3 linked regions of the Caenorhabditis elegans genome follow. The protein of the gene in region 1 interacts with the protein of each later gene in a pairwise test. Each region holds a gene or a part of one and is shown in the gene's direction. Other genes may lie near its edges.

Region 1 (12,424 bases):
TAAGAGTTTCAGCTACAGTAGCAACATAGTTCTACCTCACCAGAAATAGTATTGCTACTGTAGCGCTTCCAATTTCTAGTTTTCCTTAAATTAACCAATTCTCACTTCATTTTAACATTCTTCCCCCGAATTCTCTATGTCTCACCTCACTATCAGTCTTCCAAATTTTCACCTCAAGTACAGTACATCTGAAACTCTAACACCTCCCCATGCATTTTACTGCCTGTAGATCCCTCTTGTTTACCAACTTCTTTCATGTTCTTCCGGTCTGCCGTTTCACTTCCTTTTCTCACCTTGTCGGACCCCTAGCTCTCCATTAAAGGATTAGTACCGCCTGAGCATCCGCCCGGCTCTTCACAGTGTCGCCTCTCACCAGGGGTTATCAAACCAATATGGTCAAGAGTTGTGGGAAACTGTGTCATGACTCAAGTGCTTTTTTCCCATGCACACTTATCAAATGATTCCCACACTGATAACTCGGCACGTCTTTTGTGGTTGATAGTGATGGGAACCATTGGGATATAATTTTTTTTGGCGAAACGACACAAAAAGTGGGTTTTTAGGGTTTAAGGCAATTAAATTTCTACGAATAAGATTCTAATCTAGAAAAAGAAGGCGTGCTGTAGAAGTGAGGGGTACTGTAAATCGCCACGCTCCCTCTTCCGAATGGTTTATGACTTTTCTCTATATCTCCTTCTCTTTCTCTATATTTCTCAAATTCCGCAACATTTCTCCCTTCTTGATTTTGTTCATTTACAAATCGAGCTATAAAAATCAATAAAAACTTAATTTTTTTTCCAGAAATGGTCCTCATCAGTACCCCACCACCAGCTTACGCTCATAACAGAAAAACATCACAGGAGAAGAAACGACGAGATGAGATTAATGCAAAGATCAAGGAGCTTCAACTATTGATTCAAAATGAATCGGATAATGAGAAAATGACGTGAGTTTTCTATTCGTTTAGTGTTATCTTCATTCAAATCTTACTAATTTTCAGCCAAGGTGATGTCTTAAACCGTGCAGTCGAAGTGGTCAGTCGCATGGAAACCGAATCACCTGGACCATCATCAAATCCAAATCGCAAAGGATTCTTTGACGGATTCCGATCAATCGAGTCGCTCACTTATTCCTTCATCAAATCCCTGGGCGTCAATTCAGATGTCTGTCAGGATTTTGTGCAACGTGCCAAGCAGTTTTTCGATCGAGAACGTTCATCTTTGCTGAGCACTGTATCTGGAAAATCAAAGAGAAGATCTGAGTCGGAAATTCTCCACTCTTCAATGAGCTATAGATCCCAGTCAAGCTCTCCATCGACATCGGAATCTGGAATCACAATTGATAGAAAGGAAGTGAAAAAGAATAGAGAGCAAGATAGAAGAGATCGTCAGGGAGAAGCTTTTGATGCTTTGAAGAACTTTATCATTGAGAACAAGCTCATGACATCTCATCAAGTGTAAGCTTAAATTTTCCCAATACCATAAATTAAACTTTTCCTTTTTTCAGCGAAAAAATGCAACGCTTGAACACCCTGGATATCATAATTGCCTACATTCAAAACAAGAAGCACAATTTTGTTAGTCGAAGCGACCAGGAGCAGTCACTCTATGCACATGCAATTGCAGAGGGAAAGAAGACTGCAAAAAACATTGCCTTCCAATTTTTCAAGGTGAGTTGTCAGGAACTTCGAGAAGATTTTTTTAAATGTTATCAATATATTTTCAGAGCGACCGTCACCTCGTTGTCCGATGCGCAGACCTTGAAAAGTTCTTCGAATTCTCCTTATCACCAAAGCCACTCTTTGGATTCCCATCCATGCCCATCCCAATTCCACCACCATCATTCCCAATCTTCCCATTCCGGCCATTCCCATTCTTCCCAATGCCAATGGCACCAATGGCAACAAGTCCAAAATCTCAACAGTCTCCATCATATTCACTGGATTCTCCACCACCATCATCCGATACTTCTTCGTCATCAATCGAAACACCATCCACTCCAAATGAGAACTCGAATTCCAATCCTAAAGCTTCAAGAAAGAGTAAGCTGTTCAGACCATGGGAATAACTTTTCTAAAAAATATATCTCCTTTAATTGTAATTTAGTGTTAAAAGTATATATTCTTATTAATAATTTATCAACCTCAAAATGTTATCGACTTTTTCAACTTATCATATCATTATCATCTCACAACCAAAATCTAGTTTTATTGTCACGGGCTATTAAGCTTACCGGTAGGTTTTATAAATCCTTAATTGTTGTTTTCCCTCAGTATTCATAATATTTATATTGAATTTTCCGATTTTCAGTGATTTTGAAGATTAAATGACTGCAGAATAAAGTATTTATTATCTCTATTATAGTGTTGTATTCTGGTACCTTGTTTCCCATGGCAATTGGTTGCTCATTGCCACGTGTCTCGATAGAATGATGTGACAGTTTTTATTCTCCCACCACCTTGTTCCAGACAGACGACTAATTAGTGTTTTAGTGGGAAATGGTTAATACAATGATACTTCTAATTCAGAGGGTTTAAATCCACAAGGAAAGTATTTCCGCTCTAAATTGAACTTCCGAATGTAACCTAGCTATTTTTTTCTTTGTAAAGTTGATGCCTTTTGAAAAAAACATGTTGAACATTTTGCAGATTTTTTTCAACATATAACATTTTTCGAAATGGCTTCCGGATGATAATCTAACCCTAAACACCCTGAAGCATTAAAAATCTCCATTAAAGTGAATGCATTTTGAATTTAAAGCTGAGTTTGAAATGTAAACCTTTTTTGTGATAAACAAATATTTTCGAATTCCTCAAAAGTTCAAATAAGAATTGCCGATCTTTGAGGTTTCTCTGTTGTTTCCTGCGAATTGTCATCTCGCCGATTATTTGGCCGTTCAGTATTTAGAAACAGTACATTTTAGCCTGGTGTGCCCCCGATACAAACTTCCTTTGTCATCTTTTCTCATGCAATATTTTCCAGAAAAGTTTTGTATAAAAATGCACTGATGCTGGAAACTCAATTTTTGCCACAATTTTTTCCCGAAACTTTTCGCATCTTACTTATAAATATTTGTACTTTAGTTTAGTAAGTTGACATTTACAAATCAAAAGTGCGTAAAACTTTTTTAATGCGGAAACCCAGAGAAAAAGTGTGTTCGGACTGTTGAGGCGATTGTCTCGAAGTTGTTGGCGAACCCGAACCGGTCCGCTTTGTTTGTCTCTCAAAACCTCTTCATTTTCTTTTATCTATCATATTTCACCTATGTTCTATACACCCATTCACCCCCATTTTATGTATGTGAAAAAATGAAAATTTGCATCTGAATTCAGAATATTTTTGTCGTTTTTTATAAGCATTCCTTTTAGGTGTCAATTTTAACATCTCCAAGGAAAATGGTTTCGAGTTTTTTAAAAATTTATATTTAGAAAGTCTGATAACAATACTTTATTTTAGGATTAATGTTAAGATCCGAAATTTTTTCATAAATGTATGGCTTCTTCCGCAAATGCAAAACAATTGACACGACTCTAAAAGTTTTCTTTTTTTTCTGTGATTTATATGTGATGTAATTTTTCTGTGACTTTGTTGCATATACATATGTAGAGTTTAAAATAATTTTCTAAAAAATCAATCTTGACAATTTTTCACTTATATGTCTAAAATTTTTTTGTAAATTTAATTGGGTAAGTTTATCTATGATACTATAATTTTTAAAAAATCGGGTTACAATAAAATGTATCACAGCTTTCGTTTTTCATTAGCAAATACTTTGGAATAGTTATAGAAAACTTTTAAATGATCATAAATGTCTTCAAAGTAAATAAATACAAATATTGAAGCGTCTTCATTCCAATGGAATGAACAAATTGAAAATCCGATAAAGATTTAATTGAAAAATATTGGAAATGCTCCTCTTCTTCTTTTTCACATTCACATCGTCCATTTCTCTTCAATCAACCAAAGCGATTCGAATTTTGTTGAAACAATATTCTTTTGCTCTTTCTCTTTCTCTTCCAGTTTCCAGCCCTTTTCATTCAATTCTCTTTTCTATGTGTGAAGCACCAAAAGCACAAAACTCGAGGAGCATTTTTCTTTATCAAAAAGGAATTGTGAAAATTTCCCAATTTAGTCTGAATTATTTTTCCACACACCGTTATCGAATTGTGCTCCTCGCCGTGGCTAGTATGACGTTATCATACTGTCATTAGGTCATATGTATTATATTTCACACTTTTACTTTATTGTGCTCCTTTTTTCTTGAAATGTCATTCTTTTTTCTTGCAGTTGTAGAATTTCCGGAAACTTTTTTTTCTGAAAATATAGGAATAGGGAGTTGATTGGGTTATTGGAGCTCGAATTAAACTGAGGGTAAATAAGTTTTTAGGAAATAATTTTGAAGGGCTGTGGTGCTTTTGTCAAAATATACGCGATTTTTTAAAAACCAAATATGAAAAAAAAAATTTCAGTCACGGTTTTGGCAAATTTTCAAAATTTTGAAAAGTGTGATTAGTTGAGATATTTCAACTATCCTTGCACATTTGAGCCAATCTTTAGCACAAAGAATTAAAGCATAAAACACATTTTTGCCGGCTTTCAAAATTTTGATAGATAAATAGTAATTGTTATAGAAACTTCTTTTGCCAATTTTGCAGAAAACTTTCATAATCTCCAATCGCAATTTTCTTGTTGAAAACCTATTCATTCCTCTAATAGAAACTACATTTTTAAAACTTATTTATAAATTAATTGGAAAAATTCACAAATATCCAGGCAAATAAGACATCTTGTTTAAAAAAATGTAATATCTTTCAATATTACTTGAAGCCTTCCCAGCCGCTTCTTGTGAATTTTCTAAAAATTTCTAAGCGAACTATTTTAAAAAATTAGATTTTTGATCAAGTTCTTGTTTTATATTCTTTGATTTTTTTTTCAAACGGGAAAGTATGATTGATAGTTTTTTTACCGGAAAAATACAACAATTTTTGATAAGAGATTATTCATTTTAACAACTGAATTGCATTTCACTAGTTGAATAAAATAACTTTTGTTATGAGAAATTGAAGAAACACCACATTTTCGTAATTGCTTATAAGTTTTAAATTAATTTCTAAATCAGAAATTCTTTCAATCGTTCTTTTGCAAGGAAGACCGTTAAAATTTTCTTTTTTATGTGCATCCAATTTCATAAATCCTTCAATTTCTCAGCATGCAACACGGCTCACTTGGCCCATCATCGTCGTCTCGAAAGACTACAGTAACCAGCACAGCGGGCTCCGTTCACCTTCATCACCGCTCTTCAAATGGTTTCTCGACAGCATCACGAGCTCAATTGAACCGTCACAATGAAATGGATTTTGGGAAAATGTTTGCGGCAATGGAGAAAGGTCACAAAGTGTGCAAAATTGCGGTGTTGAAGAAATGGGATCCAGCCTATAAACAATTAACGTTGGATCGGTACTCGAGGCAGATTTTTCTGACAAAATTGGAACTGTCAGCTGTTAGGTAAGAGGATAAGTAACATCGCATGAAATTCATTTACATTTTTTTCAGAAATAAACCGACAATTCTAGATATTCGACAAATCCGTGAAGTACAGACATTGAATTACAAATTGAACACAATTAAAGTAGATGATAAATGGAAAAAGGATCGAGAAATCGTAAATTTTGATTCAAAAGCCATTCTAATCATCTCATATGGAATGGGATTTGCTCTTTCCTATTGGATTCTTTTGTGTGAGTTTTTGTTAAAATAATTATTCAATAGTTTGAAAGAAAAATGTTATAGTTGAAAGTGAGGATGCGTGCAAATTATGGTCACAAGGACTTCATAATTTGATGATGGACACAAGAGATCGAGACTCATCCCCTCATCCATTGAGAATTGAACGATTTCTGCATAAACACTTTTTGAGTTTAATGTCACCGGCTAATGATGCGTAAGTTCAAAAATTGCAGAATTTTTTAATAATAACAATTTTCCAGCGTTGCTCGAAAGCATATGAAACCATTTGTTCAAACCTCCCTCCAATTCAAAGTTCAATCTGATCAGCTCCAACAAGTGACAGAAGATCAAATGAATTCTGATCAATTCAGTTTTGCCAGTCGTCAACTTATCCATGTACCTGAACTCTTCTCTTCAAGATTCGCTGATCTTGCTGAAAAACATGAACGAAAAGGTCTTGTGGTGACGTTTCAAAATTTTTTGCGATTTCTTGATGGCAAACAATTCGATGAACTTGCCTCGAATCGAACGAGAGCTTTGGAGTTTTTGAATCGATATTTTCAAGAAGATCAAGCATATTTTGGAGATAGAAATGAGCCTTCAATGACTGTTTTCGAGTTTTGTGATTTTTTATTTTCAAGGGAGAATTCGCTGTGGGACCCAACAAATGAGAAAGTTACTCATGATATGAGCAGACCATTGTCTCATTATTGGATTGCCAGCTCGCATAATACGTTTGTTTTTTTTTTGGTCTATATAAGTGCTAAACCAGTAATTTAATTCCAGATACTTGACGGGTGACCAACTTCGATCTGAATCTTCTTTGGATTGTTATGCTCAAGCTCTTTTGATGGGTTGTAGATGCATTGAGTGTAAGTTTTAGAGACAATTTTCACTGTTTTATAAATAATTTTATTTTTCAGTAGATTGCTGGGATGGACAGAAGAAGCCCGGGTCAGCCGAGTTCATTGATATTGTCATCTATCACGGGTATACGATGACCTCAAAAATTTTGCTCCGCGACGTGCTTCACGTCATCCGTCACTATGCATTTGTTACGAGTGAATATCCAGTAATTCTATCAATTGAGGACAACTGCTCGGTGCCAGCTCAACGGCTTCTAGCTCAAGAACTGAAAGATATTCTTGGTGATTATTTATTGACACAACCAGCAAATCGTGAAGAAAAACAATTGCCCTCCCCGGCCGCGTTGAAGAAGAAAATTATCGTGAAGCATAAGAAGTTGCCGATAGAAAGCGAGGATTTGGCAGCTGTGGTGAAAACTGATGAGTGTAAGTTTTATGAAATTACTCTAGTTTCCTAGTAGTAAAGGTATAAATCATTTTGCTAAATGATTTTTGTTTCAGTCCAAGACACGGAAATCATATCTCGCGAATGTGTAAAGAAGGGGATCCTGATGGTAAAAAACAACAACAGTCACGAATGGACATCTCATGTTTTCATATTATTCCCTGATCGTCTTTGCTACCTGATTCAAACCGCTGATCCTGAAAATCCAAATGACGATACAGTGAGTGTAAGTGGAGATGAAGAACGGGAAGAAGAGACGCCTTCTGGATTTGGAGTGAAACCTGAAGAAATGCATGTGACTGAAGAATGGTTCCATGGAAGATGTGAACGGGATGAAGCGAAAAAACGGATTCTAGAGCATAAGGAGAAGGGAAATGGATTGTTTATGATTCGAGATTCGAATCTGTTCATTGGAGATTTCTCACTTTCGATTCTACATGACGGGAAAGTTCATCATGTTCGGATAAGATCCAAGATTATTGATAGTGAGTTTTTCTATGTTTTGCATGTAACATGTATTCGAGAATTACAGTAAATAGAAGAGAAACTTTTAATAAAATTTTCAACTTTTCAATTTTTCAGAAGAGAAAAAATATTACTTCATGGATAACAAAGTCTGCGACACTCTTTACGAGTTGGTCTCTTACTACACCCGTCACTACCTCACAACTGCTCATTTCAAAATGGTGCTCACGATTCCATGTCCTCAACCACAACCGCATCTTAATCAGCCATGGTTCTCTGCTACTGCTGACAAGGAAAAAGCCGAAGAACTTTTGAGCTTGGTGCCAGAAGATGGTGCTTTCCTAATTCGGACGTCATCGACTGACTCTTCAGTTTACGTTCTTTCGCTAAAAGTCGACGGCGAATTCTGGCATTATCGATTGAAAAGAGATGGAAGAATTTTCGTGGTGAATCAAAAAGTATTCGAGAATTTGAATCAAATTGTTGAATTCTATGCGAATCGAGAATTTGTTAGAGGAATTAGTCTTCGATTCCCTGTCAATGAGAAGGATATATCACACCTGACAGCTGAACTTGCAGAAGCTCGTACTCCAGGTTGCTATATGGATCTGAAGGATTTGGATAAAGAAGTTCAAGCTCGAGCACTTCGACCGTATCGAGGAACAGCTGATGATGAACTTTCGTTCCCAGCGAATGTTATTATCACAGTACTCCGGAAGGAAGAAGGTCTTTGGAGAGGAAGATATGGATCGTTGACTGGATGGTTCCCTTCGGCCCATGTACAAGAGATTCTACCAGAGAAAGTTTCAACTTCAGGTTAGTTTGAAAAAATTAATGTAAACAGTTTATCTCATAAAATAGCAAGTTTAAATTAAGTAGTCACTATCAAAAAGGGAACTGAATTTCGTGTGGGCTCACTATTATTATTTGTATTCTTTTGAAATAGTTTAGAAGCTGCCAATATATTTAGTGTAGCATCACGATATGGTTTATGCACAATGAGCATCACAATAGTTGAAATCAAACCATGAAGAGATAGCAAGCATAAAGAAATATTAGTTTGAGCTGTAATGAATATAGTAACTAGATTATAGTTTTAAAAGTGTTACCTTGATTATGATACTCCAGAGAAACTTGAATAATTACAAATAGAAATGGAATAAACATTAGTAAAACAGGAATAGTAACTTGAATACAAATTGCTCGAAATAGTCTCTTTTGTAAATTTCTAGTCCTTTCTGATTTTCTATCATCTTTTCCACTTAAATTCATCAAAAGTCGAATGACAAAATAAATAATCTGCCCTTCAATCAATGAACTAGTGATAATAACTGAATAGTGAGTTACACGGACATCCAGAGCTAACACAAAAAATCGATTTTCATCGACTTCACATGGAAATTGTTCCTTAACTATTTTGATAGCTTCCGACTGATTTGGAATACGTAAAATAGTTGGAATGACAAAAGTGAACGCCAGTAAATAGTTGAAAATAAAGAACAGAGCTCGTCTGACTTTTCGACTAGAAAACTCGAAAATAATGGTGTTATAGCGGTTCTCGAAAATGTGAAGAATTGCTACACCGGTTACTGAAATGATAAAATATAAAGTTCCAAATTTCCTGCAAAACTTACAAACAATTACAGTCAACATAACATAAATTTGAAATGGAATATTCACATCCAAATAACCCAGCAATCCCATGGGAAACCCTGACATTGACGGTAAAAGTATAAATGGAGCAACAAATAATCCCATAAATAAATCCATTAAAGTACTCCAAAAATGCAAATTAAATATGACCAATTTGACAAGATTCATTTGATTCGGGGTTTTGCACAAAATACAGTACCCTCCGAATATGTAAATTGGAATTCCAACAGCCGATATTATGTGTAGACTTATTTGTAAAAACTTGGGAGAATGAAAGAATGATAGAGTGGGACAAGAAGCTTGCATTCGATAGAAATTTGAGTTTTAGTCAGATCTGAAAAGAAGAAAAATAAAGTATCATCCCTTCTATGCTTCAATGATTTTTTAAAAATTTGATTATTCTATCAGAGTAAAGTGAAATCAAACATCAAAGTTTTCAGAAACTAGCAACTACAACACAATCGAGCTAGCTGGAACACTAATTGAACGGATTCATGATGCTGATCGTCCGAATGTTATCAGAATATCACAATCAAATCAACATTGGATGAACAAGCAATATTATTTGTTGGCTGCTTCTTGTAAGTTGTTCTTCGAACTGAAATTCTGGGGTTTACAATTTCGACAGGCTACAAATTGTGTTGATATGGCCCGAAAGAAAATAGAAACTCTTTAAAAAAATTTCAAACATTATTTAAATTAAATTTGGAAATTTTGTGACAATTGAAAGCGTACCTGAATCTACAAACTACTACAAAAATTTATTTAAAAAAAATTCAAAACGGAGAAGAAAAAAAAAACAAATTAGATTCACTTTACGCAAATATTTTTCAACCTGGATCCCAACTTAACTTAAACTATAATTTTCCAGCCTCCGAGGAAGCAGATGGTTGGCAAAACAATCTCTTCGAGCTGACTCGTTCAGTTAACACAAAAATGAGCATACTCCGAACCAAAGAAAAAGAAAAACGAATTGCCGCTGAGCTCTCAAATCTAGTCGTCTACTGTCAAGCTGTTCCATTCGACCCAGCCCATATCTACAATGACGCTTTCTATGAAATGTGCTCATTTGTCGAGGGAAAACTTGACAAACTGGTTGAAAAGGGGCTTCTTCCGTTTAATTCCCGAAAACTCTCGAGGGTCTATCCGAACGGAAGTCGAATCACATCGAATAATTATAGTCCGGTTCCAATGTGGAATGCAGGATGTCATATGGTTGCACTAAACTATCAAACCGGTGATAAACCCATGCAGTTGAATCAAGGAAAGTTTTTGGCAAATGGAAGATGCGGGTACCTACTGAAACCAGATTATATGTTAACTGATGACTTCGATCCTACGAACACGGAAAAGTTTGCAACAGCTTATCCCATTCGACTGAATGTTCAAGTGATTGGAGGACGTCATTTGTCAAGAAAAGATAAGAATAAAGGAATATGCTCCCCATTTGTGGAAATTGAAATTATTGGAATGCCATGTGACACAAAAGTTTTTCAAACTAAAACTATAGGTAATTTTTAATATTTTTTTTCCTTTTTAAAAATAAGTTTCTAAATTTCAATTAAAATTTCAGCATCAAACGGTCTTAATCCGATCTGGAATCAAACTTTCACATTTGAGATCCAGTGTCCCGAAGTAGCACTGATCAGATTCCACGTGGAAGACGGTGACTTTGTGGGACCAAAAACAGATCCGTTCATTGGTCAAGCAGTATTCCCTGTTGATTCAATTAGATGTGGATTCCGATCAGTTCCACTCAAAAATCAGTACAGTGAGGAGCTTGAGCTCTCTTCACTGTTAGTTGATGTACAAATGTGCTCCAGAGAAGGAACTCAATTGATCAGGTCGTCGTCGCATTTCTTGCAGGTTAGTGCCCAGTTGAAAAAATTTTATTAAAGGTTTCTTCAGGCGAGTCGTCTGGCTCCTGTCTTCGCTCACCGTAAGATCACAAATGGCGATAGTATCCCTCGTGAGATGGCACCTCGGTTACGAACATCAGCCACCGATCGTTCACTAGACTCTCCAACAAATTCCGAGTCAAGAGCCACTCTTCTGAGCGGCCAACGAGGTAGCCAAGACTCTATGGACAGCGCTGCCGAGTAAGAATTGAAATTTAAACTTTTGTGTGAAAATCTACTTTCAGAACATCGTCCATTGCATCTGGAACAATAAGCTCTCGGGATGGAAAGAAGAAACAAAACTGGCTCAAGAAGTTCTCATTTGGAAAAAGTAGTAAATCATAGATATAAACTCAGCACTTTCCGTTCTGTTTTTTGCCACAAAATTTTGGAGCATTTTTTATAGTTTAAGTTTAAATATACCCGGTTAGTTTCAATCAATACAAGTTACTAGTTACAACTCAAAATTCGATATTTCTCAATTATTTCCGCATTCCTCCAAATCCAAAATGTGTTCATTCCTCATCATTCCTTCCTCTTCTTGTTTAATTTTTTTGTTTTTTGACACTTTTTTTCATTTCAAGTTCAAACCTCATCGGATTCTGCTTTAACTTATGACAATTCTCCCAAACACTTCCAAGTCAATTTAATTAGTTTTGCTGAGATTTTTCTTGTACCTTTTATTATTAATTGTTAATAAAATTATGCATTTTTTGGTAATTGGTAATTTGGTAATGTTATTTTTTAAATTAATTCAAAATTTCTTTGGGATTTATTTGAGACCTAATGCATCGTTTTGATAATGCTGCAAGATTTCAGGCCGATATGGGCCGCCTATTTATTGTCAGCCTAATGGTTAGCTTCTTTTTTTGAGCTACTCAACATTTTCAAATGCAACACAATTTTTATTAGAGGACTCTGTCTTTCTCCGTTGCATATTCGTTTGCCTTCTCCTCTTCTCTATACAATTCAAAAAGTACGATGAATCACTCCAAAAACAACAACATTATATGAAAACGAAATGAAGACAAAAATATAAATAATATAAACAAAATAGTTTGTTTCTTGTTTTCCGGAAATAACGAAAACTCGCCCAAAAATATCAAAGTACACGAAACATTGTAGATACGAAATTGAAATTGAAATCGTAATCGAAATTGAAAACAAGAATTCTGGAAATCGTAAATCTCAAAAATTTAATGGACCGAGTGGGCTGAAATTGGATTTTTAGGGGAAGCAACTTTGATTGGAATTTTGGTTTTTGATACAATTCCTAGAAAATGTTTTTTTTTTGGTAATAAAAATCAGTAACTCGATTTTTGAGTTATTGAAATATGAATCTGAAAACATTGGTAGTTTCAATACAATTAG
Region 2 (8,602 bases), on another chromosome or scaffold:
CTCGGTGATTCTGAAGCGATAACCCATCCCATTCCACATAGTTCCATTGACTTTCTGCTCATTTGCTCCGGGACTCAAGTCAACCTTCAATTCAAAAAAATGTGTTAATCAATTTCCTTAAACTATTTAAATTCCAAATATCTACCATTCCAGGGATTTTGGTTATATACCAGTCCTGATCATCTCCACATTGCATACCAAATTGGGAGAAATAATCGATTTTGTTGGCCCCGTTGAAAACCGGATAGAATCTCTGAAAACTAAGAAAAAATGGAAGCGGATAACTATCAAAAACTTACAAAACTGGTCAGTAGGTATGGATTCAGTGTAAAAACTGATGGCGGACCGGCCGCCAAATAACTATTTGGCTGATTTTGGGCGCAAAGAATTTCGTACAAACATCCGTCGTCTGATACTTCTGAGACTTGAAGTTTGTTGAGAAAACCTGAAAATAGTGATATTTACCGTTTTCCATGAATATCTATACAGTAATCCTACAGTACTCACGGTCTTGTACTCAACCAAAAAAAATTAGGCGTGCTCAACGCAGACTTTGGTTTATGTCGGCTGCGTATTCATCACAGGATAAACCAAAGGTCAAACTATAAACTACAAACTACAAACTACAAATTACAAACTACAAACTACAATACTAACAGACGTTAAGTTCTAAAATACCTGTATTAAATGAATTCGGTGATGAACAGTCGCACTTTGTTCGGGATATTTCTGTTATAATTTTAGAAATTTTAGTGGTCGTAGTAGAAATAAGTGTTGTCGAATAGCTAGCAGTTGTAGAACTTTTCACAATTTCCCCGGTTTCAATAGTATTTGAAACAGTGGATGGAGACGTTTTCTCGGGCAGAACACATGCTAAACTATCTGGAAACCCATAAGCCGCCAGGAAGATCAAAAATACACCTAGACCCATTTCTATTGCTGGTTGGAGAACTGTTTCCTTTTTTATATGAGTGCTAATGAGGTCTCATTACAGTTTTCAAATGCATATTGATTAGATGAAACGTGTATGTTATGTTAATTTGAGCAAAAAAAAGTTTCGGTTTCATAATTTTTGTTTAAAATTCGAGGGGAAATGCTTATTTAATGCTATATTCCTAGTGAAAAAAGTAAAAGTACCCGAACTTTTAAAAACTATATGAAACAGTGGATTTCTAAAAAGTTATTTTGTCAATGCTGCTTTGCAAAAAAAGTTAGAAATTTCCATTTTGTAGTTAATAAGTGATATTCAATGGTTTTTCTTTAGCATAAGCTTAATTTTTTTTTGTTTCTTTTTTGACTTAAAAAAAAATTAAAACTCGAATGTGGGTATGAGTTTTTAAGGGAGTAACGGAACAGTGATTTTTTTTTGTTTTGCAGCAGTCTTCAAAATATGGCACACGAGCCAGTTAGTAGGGAGCATTAATCAAATTAAGCTTCCAAGAAATATATAATTCATCAATCTTTAAAAAACTTATTAAATTATTGAAAACAAATAATACAATACGGACGCAAACAAACACTTTTTAATGTTCCAGGTAATTTTCAAAACAACTGCGCAATGAAAACGCTCAATTTATGGATGTAAATGTCTTTTAAAATGAAAAAACAATTTTTTTATGATACTGACTCTAGTTTTTAATTTCAAAGAGGTAGTTAAGCATGATAAATTATCCTCTTAGAAAAATAAAATTACATTCTAAAGTTGATTTATTATTTTTCAACTGTAAAATAAATGAACATGATCGTTAATATTATTTATTGCAAAAATATAAATAAGTATTGTATTGTATATACACATAACTAGTGTCACAATTATACATTGGATGACTACATTCTCTTGCAACATTGTCCATTTCCACACGGAGAATAGTTTTGCTGGCAAGAGCAGGAGTTGACTGATTGAGTGAGGCATGGCATCTGGACTAGTTGAGCAGTAGAGCACGATTGATAGCATGATTGGGTGCATGCTGGAGCACATTGCTGCATTGGTTGTTGTTGTTGAATGCATTGTTGTTGGCATGATTGTTGGCATTGTGGAACACATTGAGCAGATTGAGACACTGAAGGTTCTAGGATGACAGTCACAATTTGTGGAGCAACAACTGGAGATTGGCATGCTGATTGGCATTGCTGACATTGTGGAGCAGCTGGTTGCTGACATTGTGGAATACATTGTTGTTGGCACTGTTGAGTCTGTTGGCACGAAGTTTGACATTGTTGGCAAGCTGGTGCAGATGGAAGTGTGCATTGTGGAGCACACTGTTGCTGGCAAACTGGAGCATACTGCTGGCAAGTATTCTGGCACTGCTGGCACTGTGGAGCTGATGGCTGTTGGCATTGAGGAGCACACTGTTGTACGCATTGTGGAGCTGCTTGCTGACAGGTTGTCTGGCATGGTTGAGTACATTCCTGATAGCACTGTTGAACTGGAACTTGTTGTAGAAGACATTGTTGTTGACACTGTTGTTGGCATTGTGGAGCACATTGAGCAGAGATTCCCAAGTTGACATTGATGACTTGTGGAGCAACAGTTGGAGCACATTGTTGAACACATTGCTGCTGACATTGTGGTTGACATTGTTGAATTGGTTGAGCTTGAACACATTGTTGAGTGCACTTTTGTTGGCATTGTGGAACACACTGGACTGTGACTGGAGCTGGAGCAACACAGGATTGTTCACAGGCTGGCATGCAAGATGGTTGACATTGGACTGGAGCTGGAGCAGCTATTTGAGTATAACAGGAAGACGTCTGACAAGTCTGCTGGCATGAAGATTGACACTCATTCATAGATGGAGCAAATTGACATTGGTTCTGGCAAGACTGCTGACAAGCTGGAGCACATTGAGAAGTTTGCACTTGGTAAGTTACTTGCTGAACTGGTTGGGCACATGAGCAGGATGTCTGGACTGGAGCAGTGTTCTGACACGAACAACTGTACTGTTGTGGTTGAGTTGCTTGTTGGCATGAACAACTTGGTTGAACTTGTGAAGCACAACCACATGATTGACGTTTATCACGAATTGATGTTGCCTGGAAAAAACTTCTGTGAACTTGGAAAACAAGCATTTTGTTGCTAACATCGATTACGTCCAACAAATATTTGTAAGATGTGGGCACTTAGAAAACTAGACCGTATTATCAAGAACATTTTGAAAAAACTGTACATGATGAATTTTTCATCAAGTGATGGAAAATTGTTGTAGTTAATATAATATTTTTAATTATTAATAAACCGAAATACTAACTGAAAAAGTTTAGAAATGTCGTGCCATTCTAAAAGTGAAAGTACAATGAAACTTTATCAAACCTCGATAAGCAGACAGCTGGAAGCAAAGAGAGCTACAAATACGATGAAACGCATGATAATGGTTGAAGAAGCAGGGCTTGATGATTTCCACAGATATCAAGGCTTTATATACCCCCTCAAACACTGCTTGCGTACGATTATAGCAATGTAAAAAAATAGTGCCGGAAAAAATAGTCCAAGAGTTCAAGTCTTGTAATTTCGAATGGCTATTGTGAGAGCAAACAAAAAGGTGTTTCTAATAATGAGTGGCGTCAAAAGGCAATAAACAATTTAAAATCGTTTTGTCGAAATCCGAACTCTAAAGTTCAACAGGTAACCCTTTCATTACTTTTCTGAAAATGTAAACGAAATTTTTTGGTACACATAGTTAAGCGGAAACTCGGCGCAATCCAAAAAAAAAACACTGTATCAGTGCAAACGCGCACCCAACCTCTTTTTGATCTTTGCAACTTGCCGTGCCCTCAAGAAATAGTGTGTGTAAGACTGGGAGGCGACGAGCGTGTTTTTTGGTTCATTTGCCATGTTATCATTGTTATGTTTGCGCTGAGCATGAAGCCGGTTGATGGATGGAGTTTGATAAGTGGGACGGAACTGTTTGATGGCTAATGAAACAGGGTTGTAGGACGTTGGTATAAAAGTCGGAAAAATTAAAACAAGGGCATCAATTGTCTCTTAGCAGCTCTTCAATCATATTGACAATGCGTTTTATTACAATTGCAGCAGTTCTTCTTGTTTCTAGCCTTCTTATTGTTGAGGTACGATTTGTATTACTGTTGCTTCACTTACTTTCTGAATTATCTGTAGAATTAGTTAACAATTTATATGTACACCTTGAAACATTATATTATTTCTAGGCATCTTCAATTCGTGATAAACGTCAATCATGTGGTTGTGCTTCACAAGTTCAACCAAGTTGTTCATGCCAACAAGCAACTCAACCACAACAGTACAGTTGTTCGTGTCAGAACACTGCTCCAGTCCAGACATCCTGCTCATGTGCCCAACCAGTTCAGCAAGTAACTTACCAAGTGCAAACTTCTCAATGTGCTCCAGCTTGTCAGCAGTCTTGCCAGAACCAATGTCAATTTGCTCCATCTATGAATGAGTGTCAATCTTCATGCCAGCAGACTTGTCAGACGTCTTCCTGTTATACTCAAATAGCTGCTCCAGCTCCAGTCCAATGTCAACCATCTTGCATGCCAGCCTGTGAACAATCCTGTGTTGCTCCAGCTCCAGTCACAGTCCAGTGTGTTCCACAATGCCAACAAAAGTGCACTCAACAATGTGTTCAAGCTCAACCAATTCAACAATGTCAACCACAATGTCAGCAGCAATGTGTTCAACAATGTGCTCCAACTGTTGCTCCACAAGTCATCAATGTCAACTTGGGAATCTCTGCTCAATGTGCTCCACAATGCCAACAACAGTGTCAACAACAATGTCTTCTACAACAAGTTCCAGTTCAACAGTGCTATCAGGAATGTACTCAACCATGCCAGACAACCTGTCAGCAAGCAGCTCCACAATGCGTACAACAGTGTGCTCCTCAATGCCAACAGCCATCAGCTCCACAGTGCCAGCAGTGCCAGAATACTTGCCAGCAGTATGCTCCAGTTTGCCAGCAACAGTGTGCTCCACAATGCACACTTCCATCTGCACCAGCTTGCCAACAATGTCAAACTTCGTGCCAACAGACTCAACAGTGCCAACAACAATGTATTCCACAATGTCAGCAACCAGCTGCTCCACAATGTCAGCAATGCCAATCAGCATGCCAATCTCCAGTTGTTGCTCCACAAATTGTGACTGTCATCCTAGAACCTTCAGTTTCTCAATCTGCTCAATGTGTTCCACAATGCCAACAATCATGCCAACAACAATGCATTCAACAACAACAACCAATGCAGCAATGTGCTCCAGCATGCACCCAATCATGCTATCAATCGTGCTCTACTGCTCAACTAGTCCAGATGCCATGCCTCACTCAATCAGTCAACTCCTGCTCTTGCCAGCAAAACTATTCTCCGTGTGGAAATGGACAATGTTGCAAGAGAATGTAGTCATCCAATGTATAATTGTGACACCAGTTATGTGTATATACAAGACAATACTTCTTTATACTTTTTTAATAAATAATATTGATAACTTTAAGTTTTTACTCAAATTTAGAAAAAAAAAAAAAACTTTGACCACTGAGCGGATCGAACGCCCAACCTTTCGATCTGGAGTCGAACGCGCTACCATTGCGCCAAGCAGTCACATTTTCCTTTGTCATCTAGTGCAATGACACGAAAGGGGTAGAGAGAAAGGAGAGAATAAGGAGGGGACATATGGCGGTAGAAAAACCGGTGACGGACTACTCTCTTCATCGTTTATCACATATTCTGAGTGTTTGTTTTTTCAAATTTAATGGAGGAAATAGATAGAATAGTGAGGAAATGAGAATGTTATTGATTTTCATGGCGGCATTGGTGTGAAACTTGTTGCTCCTACTGACGCGATTGTGCCAACTCTTGACTGTTTAATCTCTTTGAAACTTCTGAACAGAATCATTCGAATTCCTGGAAGTTTGTGAGGTTTTTCTTGCACGGGTTGTTGCAAGCACCCGACATCTACCGGGTTCTCGATGTGAACATATGCTGAATCCGCTAGAAGTCAAGCGCTACGGAACACTATGGAAAAATGAAGACCGCCAGATGTCGGCTGCAACTGAAAGTTTTGGGAATTTGCTTACTTTTTGCAGTCATTCGATACTCCGAAACGACATACATCACAATAAGTGAATCCGTGGCTGGATACAAAGTAAAGCTGCACAGCATTACTCCAGACGGCAAGCTCACATCTAAGTTGAATAAAGGAAGGAAAATTATGACAGTTATTGGAATGAATAATATGATCGTCGGCATTGTGATCTACATTGTAACAATTTTAGTAATCGGACTTAAGCGGCCGACACCTTGCGGGTTTTCTGTGGAAACCCATGAGGTGTCGGGCGCAAAGCAAAATTTATATACCTGAAGGATCAATGTCTTGAAAAACTGTTTATTTTGTATCTGAGACCTGGTCTCTCGCCAAAAAGAAATAGGTTCCCAGTGCATACTGGAAGCCGAAAAATGAGCAATAGGCGACCCAGATCAGGGAGTAGAAGCCTTTGAAATAGGCGAGCTTGTTGGTGCTGAAATATAAGAATTTTGTGAAGCGCCAGACATATTCCGGGTTCAGCATTAAAAAACAGAAACCGGGCGATGTCGGGTGCTTTTTTCTCGCTGCAATAAGCGCCCGACAACTCCCTAAATTATTTTTGTTTAGGTAGACGTCGGTTGCAGTAAATAGGTTTTTGTTAGAGTTACTGGTGATTGATCGTACTACGAGTGAGCTTAGTAATGCCGCTGCTTTTAAATCAACATAGTGAAACTGTAAACGTAATAACTCACTCAAAAACTGCTCAATATCTGTAAATAAACTGCACAGATAGTAGAGACATTGTTGCAGAATGGAAAAATGTGTAGCCTGCTGAAAATTTACAGTTTCAACTGAGAAACTTGATTTTGGACTGGCCTAGCGGAATGTTTCTCGACCATGGCCCACTTAACCAAAATGATTCTTCGAAACTGAAGAACAATAGAGCTGCTTTGAAGTTGTGCACGTTCTAAAATTAGTTACAAAAGCTGCAGCCGACACCTGACGAGTTGCAACACTTCGGAACCCGTTAAACGTCGGGCGCCACAGTAAACCTACCGGGTACACAACAATCTCCACTGTAGCAAAACACATGCCAAGTGCGGTGAACGCGCTGATAAGGTACTTATAGGAACCGAAATTTCTCTGGGCTCCCAGATAATTCAACGAGAGAAGTGTTAATCCAAACGTTAAAGTTAACAAAAACCCAAGTTTCGGAATGAAATGAGTGACGAAAATCCAGAACAAAAAACTGCCGGTCATGTTCTAAAATTGGAAGAATTCGAGTCAAGAAAAGTAAAAAAATTGAAAATGTTTCAGTTTATGCCGACATTGAAACAGTAAACTTATGGTAACATTTTTAAAATTTTGATCTCAAGTTTATGCTCATTTTTACATCTAATTAGTAAGCTAAAAGTGTGAAAAGTTAGTTCGGTCTGTTGGTTTTACTCTAAAATCAGTGTAACGTTCTTGATTGTGGCTTTTTGATTGATGCAGAACACCAAAAAAGTTTTTTTTTTCAAAAGATAATATGGAAATTATTAAAAGTGAACGTTGAAAATAAAATTTATGATGAAGGATTTGAAACATTGAATAGAAACATTGTAACTTAGCTGACCTTCATGAAGAATTTGAAACAGATTATTTCAGAAATTTTAATAATTAGTTAATTTTATATTAATTTTAAAGAAAAATTCTAACATTATATAAATGCTACTCATTTGCACAGTAATCTAATAAAGTTAATTTTTAAAAAGATTTTTAAGCCAAAAACAAATTAAATTGCTAAAAGGAAGCATAGAGTAAATTATGAAAAAAAAACTGTTTCATTTATGAAAAAGTTGAAACAGCACAAAATTAGCAGTCTTGGGAAGCTGCTTCTTATATGGGGTTTTTGAGAAATTCAGAGAGTATTGTTGTACATTTTACATTAAAAATTTTTATGGACTTAAAAAAGTGATAGTGAAAACTGAAAATCAACTTTTAAAATATATAAACTGGTTTTTAAAAAGTATATTTTGATAAATTCTTGATTTGGATGCTTTATCGTAAGGATTGACAATTGTGTTCGATGTTTGATCTATACGGATAATTTTTTTTTCAAATAGAAATTACAACACATTTATTGGGAAAAAATGGGGGAAAGGTTAATAATGAGTAAACCAACAATCCACTGTTTCGATGTTTCAATAAATCAACCATGAATAGGATTAGTTTATTGAAGATGCCTTTTATGTTCCTTTCCCTTCTATTAGCCCTTCTGTCCTTTCTATCAAAGTTTTTTTTTCAATTTCACAACCAGTAGCACTTACCAAAACTGTTAGATATTTATATCTGACATGTGATACAGTAAATTTTTTATTTGAAAAGTTAATTCACAAGTTTGGGTTTTCAGACCGATTACTGCAGAAAACAGAAATCAGTGATAGATATATTTTTGATGAAATTAAAATTGTGGGCCATTTGTTCTCCCCCCCCCCCCTCCATTTGAGTCAAAAAACCAATATTTACTAACCGTATTTGTACATTAGAAAAAAAATACCATTTACGTTGACAGTATTAGTATGCTAGTTCAGACGCAATTTTTTTTAATATCAAATTTTTAAAATGCGA
Region 3 (10,146 bases), 5.9 Mb from region 1:
GGTTTGATTAGCTTTCTCTGTGCTTCTGCACATCCTCTCTCCTAACTCTCTATCTCTTCCCATTCATTCCATTTTCGAGAGAGAGGCAAAGAGAGGTCAGGTCAACCAACCCCCCCTCCCCCCCCCCCCCCCTTCAGTAGCAAACGCGCTCGATCGTACGGCCCGCGAGCAGTCGCGTGCATCTCCGCGCCCTCTTCCACTCGACACACTATCTCGTCGTGTTTGATCTGCAGGTTTTCGGGGGTACGGTAACACTGCAGCCCCTATTGACTGCCGGCCTCTATGGGGGACAGAAAAATGGAGAAGAAGAGAGATAGAGAGCGGCGGAGACAGTAGAGAAAATGGTTGAGGGAGAGGAGAGGGTACGTGAGAGAGAGAGAGTGAGTAGGAAATACACACACAGCATTGTTCGATTTCTCGTCGTCGTCTCTCATTTCTCCGCTGCTTTCTTCGATTTTCGAACACCACGACCGCACTGAATTTTTCGGATTCTGATCTGATCATCATCTCAGCCCATCATGTGACTGTGTTTTTTTTTGTGAATCAGCTTCATCATCAACATCGTGTTCTAGACACGCTTCTTCGACTTCAGATGTTTTCTCAATTGATCTACCCCTCCCCGTCCCGTCTAAACCGCATGCGAAACTGGTGACCAAAATCGATTTTCTTTCAGATTTATGAGTAGAACGTAGCCATCTCTCCGCATAGGATTTACCATAAGCGCAGTGCTTATGAATTCTGGTGAGTTTTGATTTTTGAAGGTTTCAGATATCTGGGTCTCGCCGCGAAGATCTTAATTCTGGATGAAAAAGCTCTCCTGTTGATGGACCCTGCCAGTGAACCAAAATTCATATTTGAACCTCTTTCCTATTACCGAGACGGTTTTTCGTCAAAAAATACGGCTCCCGGTCTCGACACGACAAATTTTCCCTAAATGCAAAAGGCTATGCGCCTTTAAAGAGAACTGTAATTTCAAGCTTTTGTTGCTGCAAGATTTTCATCGATTTTTCATAGTTTTCAAACAAAAATATATTTGTTTATTCTAAAAACTCAATTTGGAAACAATCGGTTGAAAAAATAATAAAAATCGATGAGAATTCTGCAACAACACAAGTTTTCAACTACAATACTTCTTAAAGGCGCACACACCTTTTCGCGTTAAAAACATTTCCGGGTCGAGTTTTGGTGTGGTGCAAAAATTTGAGCCTGGGGAATAATTCCGTCTTATTTCCGTGAGAAATCCTTCGAAAATTAACGTTTTTGTCGAAAAAAACCGTGAATATCAAAGTGTGTTCGTGGCGAGACCCATCCGAATAAATCCATGCGGAAAATCGATTAATTCGAATTATCGATCGCATGAAAATAATTTTAAATTCAGAAAGAAAACTTTAAATTAAAATTAACCAAAGCCTATTTTCAGTCGGTGGAGTAGCTACCGAACGACGATTGCCTCAAACGCAGCAATTTCTTTCGCATTCCAACTTTCACTCCAACGCAACAATTATTGACGAGTCCCAGTTTCCATCACTGGGCGCGAAAGGTAAATTCACTGATTTTTTTTTATTAGCTTGAGAATATTCTTAAATCTATGAAAAACTCACTGTCGAACTCTCATTCTTATTGTTAAATGGAAAAAAATTAAAATTAAAATATTAAATTTGACCTGCTTGTGTGGAAGTCCACGGAAATGTTTTCCTTGAATCTTTCATCCTTTTTATCAATATTTAAAAAAAATTAGAACAATTATTTCATTTCTCAAGGCATTTCATCGATTTCTATTCAGGAACGTCCTCACTCGGCGGCGGCGGATTCTCCCCAATCCCAACAACGAGCGGAGGTGTTTTGAACGTTGCCCAGTCATCGCCGTCGAGAGATCTTTACGGCGCACAAAGACCCAATTATGGTAAATTTTACTTTTTTCTCTTTCTGTGTGATGAAAAGCATGAAGTATCAAAAATTAAAAAAAAAAGTACGATAGCTGGTTGTGAACCGCGAATATATATTTTTTTTTAAATCAATTTTTGTTTGCTCTTTGAAAATGCGCGCGCGCGAAATTCTGATTGAACATTTTAAAAATTACAATGCGTGTTTCATTCTGTTTTGAACGCAATTGTGCAATTTTTCGATGTTGGCAACTTCTTTCCGTGAGTTTTTAGGCAAAACGCAAATTTTCTGATAAAATTTACTCATTTTTACTGCAAAATTCCGATGAATTCGAGAAAAAACCGCCGAATTCTTTTGGAAAATTTTATTTTTTATTTAAGAAAAATCAATATTGAATGTGTGCAAAAGTCCGTGACGGTGGTTGCGTATTCCATGATCGACCGTACCCCGCAGAGATTTTTCGTTCAGAATTTCCATAAAAATTCTCCGAATTTTCGCAGTTTTTGTCGTGTTCCTGTGTTGTTAAACCATGCAAAAATTAATTTTCAGCTAACCTGATGAGATCGGACCCCAGTCTAACAAATCCCGAGTTCCAAATACAGAACGAGGATTTTCCCGCGCTTCCCGGCGTCGGTTCTGGTCAAACACAGCGATCAATGCTTGGAGATCAACTGGCTAACGTACTTAAATTTAATTTAATGTCAACAAAATTTCTGCGTCGATGACAATCAAATAATCGATAAATTATTGCAGATGTTAGCAGACGACCATCAAGTCGACTTTGCTGGACCCCTAGGCGATTGTGACCCCTCGCGGCTCAGCGGGATATCAAGAAATAGTCAAGAAGGACCTATGCATGGGATTATTACTCATCCTGATGGTGGGAATACTTTAAAAATAAGCATTTAAAATAATAATTGTTAATTTCAGGCGAAGTGACAAACATTCCAGCGTCAATGCTTGACGATCAGTTTGGGATGGCGGGTTTGGTGACATATCTTCGGACAGTTGACAATCCTTCCATTGTTTCACTGGCGTTAGGTTATGATCTTACGACGTTGGGCTTGAATTTGAATTTGTCAGAGTGAGTAGTGGCCTGAAAAGCCCGAAAAGCCCAGAAAAACTCTAATTTCCCTCTGTTTCAGACGAAAATTGTACATGAACTTTGGTGGTCCGTGGGCCGATTCGCCGATTCGAGCACACGAGCTCGACGTGAAGGTGCCCGAGGAGTACATGACGCATAATCATATTCGAGACAAACTTCCACCGCTGCGATTGAATAAAGTTTCAGAAGACGTGTTATTCTATCTTTTTTACAACTGTCCAAACGAGATTTATCAGGTGGCGGCGGCGTGCGAATTGTAAGTAAAGTTTATTCCAAAAACCTGCATCGACCATGACCGCGAGCGGAGCGTCGTGTTTAAAAAATTTATTTTAGTTTTTTTTTTTCCCCGAGAATTTGTGATTTTCATGAATTTACATATGAAACGCATAAAAAATTGGCCAAAATGATAGAAAATCACTCGTTCTGGGCGAAAAACTTTCAAGAAAATCCGCTTTTTCGTTAAGATCGCATAATTGTTCATCATTTTAGTTGATTCTTATTTCGCCTCATATATAAATTTATGAAAAATCATGTGAATCACGCGTTCTTAGCGAAAAGTTAAAATAAAAATTATTGAGCCGCTCCGTTTGCAGTTACGTCGCGGTCGAAGTTCACGAATCAAATTATTAATAATTTTAAAATTTTAGCTAGAAAATTGAAAAAAACATATATTTTATGTTAGCAATTGAGAAAATCTTTTTTATCACGAAACAATCATTATATTTTCAAATTTTTTGCAGGTACGCTCGCGAATGGCGATTTCACAAAAGCGAACAGGTGTGGTTGACGCGTTCTCAGTACGGTGGAGTGAAAGAACAGACGGGAAATTATGAAAAAGGGCATTACAACGTGTTCGATCAGATGCAATGGCGAAAAATTCCGAAAGAGTTAAAGTTGGAGTACAAAGAGCTCGAGGATCGGCCGAAAATGCCGCAATCAGTTTCCGGACAACCGACACCCTACAAATACTTTTTCCAAGGACCACAATTTCCGAGCGGTCCGGAGACGGGTCTGATGCTTCAGATGCATAACTTGACGCTCGGCACAGGTGGCGGCGGTGGCGGACAAATCACTCCACCGGCACCAGCGGGTCTTAACGGAGTTATGGGTGGTGGTGGTGTTGGAGCAGCTGGAATCGGAGGAATCAATGTGCAACCGGGAGCCGTTCCATCGGCGGCGCGAGCTACTCCAAACTAAACAAGAAGAAGATGATCTCTCGTGTGCAAATTTTCTATATCCCACTTTCGTCATCTTGTTCTCGAATTGCTCCCTTTCTCTCTCATTTTCCATCTCTTTTTCCCCTCTTTCTCTCCACATTTTCTCTCCCAATCTCCCATTTTTTTCCTTCGTTTTCCTTATTTTTCCTCTTTTCTCTACGTTTTCGTATAAACGATTATCGATATACACAAGTTGCTCTTTGAAAACCTGTGATTTTTCAAAGAAAGAGCTTCACAATGACTGGCGGCGGCGGTTTTCTCTGTATTTTCAGTGGCGCAACACCGAACTGATAAGACGGGGAAAAAGGCTGAAAACAAGATGTTTGTCGATGACAAACTCGCCTACAAGGGGGTTCTGATATCGTTCCGTGATAGCAACACAGTTTCATTCGATACTATTATTGTTTGTCATGTCGTCGTTGGCTGAAATCGCGTCGAGACCCGAAAACTTGGAGCTTCTTGCTGAAGGAAAAACCAAGCAAATCTTTGATATTAAAGGAGAAAAGGTTGGTTTTTTTCACTGAAAATTCAAAAAATTTGGGAAAACATTAATTTTCTACTAATTTTTTAATGCTTTATAGATTAAAATTTAGATATTTTAAAAGCGCCTTTTGAAATCGTGATGCAAACGCGCTCCGCGAGTAATCTGACAAGCTCCGCCCCAAAACGTTGGGTCTCGTTGGGAACGTGAATTTTTGACGATCTCACCCAATTTTTTTTGCATTTTTCAACATAAAAATCGTTAAAAACAACGAGAAATGATTGGAAAGTGCTGGAATCGGCAAAAAAGTAGGATTATACGGTTTTACCGCCAATACCTAACGAGACCCGGTTTTCAGTTATCCGTGGCGCGCTTTTGCAGCCCAAGTCACATTTTTATGCGTCTACATAATATTCAGAAAAGCGTGTCCTAGAAACACGAAAACTCGGCCAACCGAATTATCAGAAGAGATTTTTCAGAAGTATGCTCAAAATAATCTTTGAAAGAAATGTTCGGTTTTCACTGTCGGTGAGTGGCCGAGGTTTCACGTTTTCTAGGCCACGCCGCAAATAGCCAGCTTGTGGCCTAGGAAATGAGAAAACTCGGCCACTCTTTCAGCACATTTTTCAAATACACGTACGGAAAATTTCCTGTAAAAACGGTGTCTGAGCTTTCACGGAGCCTAGAAAAAACTCGGTCAATTTCGTAAATTTGAAATCTATTTGAATTTTTCCGTTTGGATTGCGATAATAATGTGCTTTTCAACAAAATTGAATCCAACTTTTTCAATTTCTGAACAAAATCTTTTCAGGATTATGTGCTCATTCGTTCCAAAGATAGCTTGACCGCATTCAACGCTGTCCGTAAAAATGAGCTTGAAGGAAAGTCTAGAATCGCAAGTAAAACCACATCAAACGTGTTTGAATATCTTCAACTTCTCGGTCTACCAACACACTTTGAAAAAAGCATCTCTGAAACTGAATTTGTCGCCCGTAAATGCACCATGATTCCGATTGAATGGGTGGCACGACGTGTTGCGACAGGATCCTTCTTGAAGAGAAATCCTGGAGTTAAAGAGGGTTTCAGATTTAATGATCTGAAATTGGAGACATTTTTCAAAGACGACGCTAATGATGATCCACAATGGACTGATGAACAAATTGTGTCGAATGGTTTGATGATTGATCATTTGAAAATTGGAAGAGAAGAGATTTCATTGATGAAGAAGATGACAAAGTTGGTGTTTAGAGCATTGGAGAAAGGATGGGCTCTTTCAAATAGTGCTCTGATTGATATGAAGGTGAGGGTGTTGCAAAGTTTTTATTATTCTCTTTTTTTTTATCGGTCTCAACTTTAAAAAGTAAACATAATAAAAAGTATGTAAGTTTAATGTTCGGTCTGCAATATATTCGTTTTGTAAATATTTACATTTTGAAAGGAAATCAGCACCATTTAAAACTGGGTGTTTTCTGTAACGTGTCGATTTACGCAGCTTGAGTACTTCACGAGGAGAAGTGTGTTTTTCTTTTCGCTGAATTTTACAATTGTCGGTTGTTGTAATTTTGAAATAATTTTGAAGAAAACCTGAAAATTCCAGATCGAATTCGGAGTCACAGTTGAAGGAGAAATTCTCCTGGCCGACGTGATTGACAATGACTCGTGGAGAGTTTGGCCTGAAAATGATAGACGTCTGCAGTTGGATAAGCAAGTTTACAGGGATATGAAGGAAGTGACAGAAGAGGGGTTGGCTCTCGTTTTGAAGAATTATACAAAGGTTAGTAGGCCGAAGCTTAGGCCTAAGCATATGCCTATGCCTGAGCCTAAACCAAAGACTAAGCCTAATCCTAAGTTTTAGCCTAAGCCCATGTCTAAGCATAAGCCTAAGCCTAAGCCTAAACCTAAATTCAATCATCCTATATATCAATTGTTAGATTTTTACGCGAATCAAACCTTTCGTGTAAGCACAATAACTTGCCTGCCTGCAAGGCGATCTGCACCTGATTTCTGCCAATATGCATACCTACAATTTTCGGTAGACACGTTGAGTAGGTAGGCAGGCACATAGACACGAAGGCGTATCTACCTACCAATAACATTTCCAGGTTATGGATATCACTGCCACCTTCTCAAAACACCAGCAAAAATGCCATGTTCTTGTGATCATGGGATCTGGTTCGGATGGCGTATTCGCACGGAAAATCTCTGATGAAGCCAAGAAATTTGGACTGGAAACTACGCTGAAAGTAAGCTCAGCTCATAAAACTACCTCGGACACTCTGGAAGTTATCGCTGATTTCGAAGAAAGTGGAGTTCCGACAGTTGTGATTGCAGTAGCTGGAAGATCCAATGGACTCGGTCCAGTTATTGCTGGAAACTCGTCTCTTCCGGTAGGACTTGAAAGATCAGATGATCTTTATTTCAAAGAATTCAGGTGATCAACTGCCCGCCACCAAGTGAATCAACGAGTCTTGACATTTGGTCATCACTCCGAATGCCGAATGGAATCGGGTGTACTACAGTGTTGGACCCATCGGAGGCCGCGCTTGCCGCCGCAAAAATCCTCGCGTCTCACAATCATATTGTGTTTGGAAAAGTGCTCACTGCACAGCTCAAGAATCAAATCAACATTTACGTAAGTGATAGAGATGTGAATTTCTAATTTTTGAACTTTCAGAACGCCAATCGCAAACTTGAATAGATGCAGGACTGAATTGAAATCAGATTTTTCAAAAACTTTCTTGTGTAAATTAACTAATTACTCAACGTTCACTTTTATTTCAGCATTCTTATATTAAAAACGAAATGAAATGTTTGAATCTTAAACTTTCAACTGCACATTCCACAGCACGTGCAGAAGAAATCCACGTGTGCCGAGACATCCACGAGAAGATCAGTCTCTTGAGTCAGCTGTCTCCGTTGCTGACGTTGACGATTATGGGTATCGTAGAGTTCTGGACAAGGCATTCCGGCTGACAAAACACCTACGAGAACTTGAACATTTCGAGTGTCCGATGTTCGGACAACTCCCGAGCCACTGTCACCCTGGAATCAGTGGAAACTATTAGGCATCTTGGGCAAGTAGGCATTGTTCTGCCTACTTCTGAAGAAACACTTTTAAACTTTAAAAACAAACATCACAAGACAATCCTCTATTCACTGCCGACGTACAATACACCCCGCCATATGGGAAATCGTCGGAGCACTCCGCAACAAACGAGTATAGCGATTTCAACTTTCCAGACTCCAAAACACTATCCGAAGCTGGAATTAAAAATTTCAAAAGATCACATAAAAATCGGAACTTACGATCTCTTCCATAACCAAAAAGCTTATATCCGGTTTCTCTGATCCTCGGGATCTTTGGAGCAGATGGAAGACAGGCTGGGAATATGTCTTTTGAGAATTCGATGGGTTCTTCCAATTCGAACACGGCGATGTCGTTGAATGATTCTCGATCAATGCAACCATCTCCGACATAGCCTTTTCGGATGTAGAGCTGTAAAGAAAATATGTGTTTAGTAAGACTAAGTGAGCCTACGTCTAAGCCTAAGCCTAAGCCTAGGTTTGCGTCTAAGACTAGGCCTACGCCTTAGCCTAAGAAAAAACCAAAGCCTACGCCTAAGCCTAATTGTAAGGGTAATCTACTCACCGACTTTATCGCCAGTGGCTTGAACATATCCTTCCTATGCAATCCCTTACACATCTCTGGAACCGCACATGTCACATTAACGAATGCCACGAAATTCTTATAGTCTCTCACGAAATACGCTTCTCTGAGATTTCCAGTATCACAGTCAGGCAGAGGATCCTCACTGATTCCGATCAAATGAGCAGCTGTTACAATATGCCATGGAGAGACTAATGTTCCGGTTCCATGCTGAACAAATTCATTTTCCGAAAACTTATTTCCGCCGTTTCTAAAAGATCCCGAGCCATCAGAAATTCGCTTCTTCATAGCCAATGAGACCGCCCATGGGGCTTCACCAATTTTCACTTCTTTACCGTACAATGCCTTGTATTCCTCAGAAGTTCTGCGATGAGAGGACAAAGTGGTAAATCCTGGCACATATCTTCCACAGTTTGCTCGTAGAATCCGGTTTTCTCGTGGGCTCAGCCTTTTTGCAAAGGTTTGGTAGATCAAAATTGAAAAGAAGAAGAAACATGAAAATGTAAACCAATTCATTGAAGAAATAACAATAATTTATGAAAACAGTGACCGGTAGAAGTGAGTGAGTGAGAGATGGGGAGAAGCACCATATACACCCCCAGAATTTTATGGGGGGGGGGGGATGTTTTATAGATCGTTTTGCGTCGGCAATAAGTAATTAAATTTACAGTACTCAAGAAAACAAAGTCATTAAAGTCATGGGTCTCTGAACTCGGCATGCCAAGGGTTTCCAGAGAAAATGTGAGCCCAGAAAATGTCGGGCACTCTGAAAATTTTTTTTCGGGGGTTTGTGAAAGTGGGTAGGCACAAGGAAGGCAGGCGAGGAGCTTTAGAATAACTTCGGTAACTTAAAATCGATAATCCTTGGATCCAGATTCCGAAACCGGTGACTCTGGAGGTGCTATTACTTTCGCCTTTGTCCTGTGCTGAGATCCCCGTTCACTTTGTTTCGCGCCCAGTGGGAACTTGATTCTCTTTACTGGCGCTTTCTTCTCCACCGCCGTTACTTCGATGATCTGGGATCCTCTAGGATCCGAAGAGGCATGGCTCATTCGCTCGATTTCGTTGTTGCTCACTATCATTGGATTCAGGTCAACTGTGACTCGTCGACGGAGTTCTGGAATTTCGTCTTCTTCCTTGATTTCTGCGCTATTGAGATTTGAGTTCTCCAGGGTCCCATTCAAATTGTTAAAATTGCTCTCCGGAATCGAAACCGAGTCCTGATTTGGCAACCTGCTCAACCAATCCGTTGTCTTTGTAATCGGAGTCAACTGTTTCTCTTTGTCATCTGTACTTGCTGTACTTGGATAACTATGTCCGTTTACTTTTATCATATTCAGAATTCTCTGCCGACTGCTCAAGAAGCTTCTGCTGTTGTATGCAGCACTGCTTGTCTCCGGGAGGCAGCAAATTCCAGTTCTCAGCCATCTTACAATGGATGCTCGAACCTTCTCGTTGAGCACAACGTGGAGCACGAAAATGAAAATTCCTTGGGTGCAATTCAAAATCGTGAAGATCCAGGCAAAAGCGGTTCCAGTACCACCTTTTACTGCTGTGAGGAATCCGAAGATCCATGTGATTCCAAGAAGACACAGCAACGTGGCAGACCCTTTCAACCATCCGATGATTCTTCCCCACTTTGTACGATCTCTACTTTGAACTGATAAAACGACTTTTAGGGCGATGAGTAGGAATATGATATTGGCAGCGATGATGACAATAATTGGAGCCACAAATGCCCAGATCGTCGGGGTGGAGGTGTCGATCCAGCAGCTGGAAAATTCTCCGATTT

Evidence for each region.
Region 2: the proteins of plc-3 (region 1) and pqn-90 interact in a two-hybrid assay, tested with the Caenorhabditis elegans proteins (one large-scale study listed by BioGRID).
Region 3: the proteins of plc-3 (region 1) and paic-1 interact in a two-hybrid assay, tested with the Caenorhabditis elegans proteins (one large-scale study listed by BioGRID).

The regions. Positions count from the first base shown.
Region 1 is NC_003280.10:10,217,670-10,230,093, forward strand, and holds plc-3 (1-phosphatidylinositol 4,5-bisphosphate phosphodiesterase gamma plc-3), read left to right. Parts: upstream 1-5,207; 5' UTR 5,208-5,208; coding exon 5,209-5,504; intron 5,505-5,552; coding exon 5,553-5,737; intron 5,738-5,789; coding exon 5,790-5,940; intron 5,941-5,986; coding exon 5,987-6,460; intron 6,461-6,512; coding exon 6,513-6,598; intron 6,599-6,649; coding exon 6,650-7,018; intron 7,019-7,093; coding exon 7,094-7,522; intron 7,523-7,619; coding exon 7,620-8,318; intron 8,319-8,348; exon of another isoform or gene 8,349-8,373; coding exon of another isoform or gene 8,374-8,567; intron 8,568-8,611; coding exon of another isoform or gene 8,612-9,091; intron 9,092-9,136; coding exon of another isoform or gene 9,137-9,461; intron 9,462-9,595; coding exon 9,596-9,736; intron 9,737-10,026; coding exon 10,027-10,665; intron 10,666-10,728; coding exon 10,729-11,021; intron 11,022-11,063; coding exon 11,064-11,254; intron 11,255-11,298; coding exon 11,299-11,398; 3' UTR 11,399-11,771; downstream 11,772-12,424. Other genes in the region: Regulator of fusion ref-1, read left to right, coding at 804-946, 1,001-1,456, 1,507-1,669, 1,726-2,067; srh-135 (Serpentine Receptor, class H), read right to left, coding at 8,374-8,567, 8,612-9,091, 9,137-9,461. UniProt on the Caenorhabditis elegans protein: Mediates the production of the second messenger molecules diacylglycerol (DAG) and inositol 1,4,5-trisphosphate (IP3) which plays an important role in the regulation of intracellular signaling cascades.
Region 2 is NC_003282.8:15,286,669-15,295,270, reverse strand, and holds pqn-90 (Prion-like-(Q/N-rich)-domain-bearing protein), read left to right. Parts: upstream 1-4,008; coding exon 4,009-4,065; intron 4,066-4,082; exon of another isoform or gene 4,083-4,104; intron 4,105-4,134; exon of another isoform or gene 4,135-4,164; coding exon 4,165-5,370; downstream 5,371-8,602. Other genes in the region: Y73F8A.10 (Fibrinogen C-terminal domain-containing protein), read right to left, coding at 1-84, 146-253, 300-445, 679-931; pqn-91 (Prion-like-(Q/N-rich)-domain-bearing protein), read right to left, coding at 1,828-3,033, 3,311-3,364.
Region 3 is NC_003280.10:4,366,986-4,377,131, reverse strand, and holds paic-1 (Phosphoribosylaminoimidazole-succinocarboxamide synthase), read left to right. Parts: upstream 1-4,606; 5' UTR 4,607-4,616; coding exon 4,617-4,712; intron 4,713-5,224; exon of another isoform or gene 5,225-5,294; intron 5,295-5,498; coding exon 5,499-5,987; intron 5,988-6,284; coding exon 6,285-6,461; intron 6,462-6,789; coding exon 6,790-7,074; intron 7,075-7,118; coding exon 7,119-7,319; intron 7,320-7,361; coding exon 7,362-7,385; 3' UTR 7,386-7,507; downstream 7,508-10,146. Other genes in the region: ntl-2.1 (NOT2/NOT3/NOT5 C-terminal domain-containing protein), read left to right, coding at 732-741, 1,421-1,540, 1,784-1,903, 2,434-2,564, 2,638-2,764, 2,815-2,968, 3,030-3,245, 3,730-4,186; try-9 (Peptidase S1 domain-containing protein), read right to left, coding at 7,514-7,729, 7,821-7,948, 7,994-8,183, 8,337-8,642; Latrophilin-like protein LAT-2, read right to left, coding at 9,203-10,127.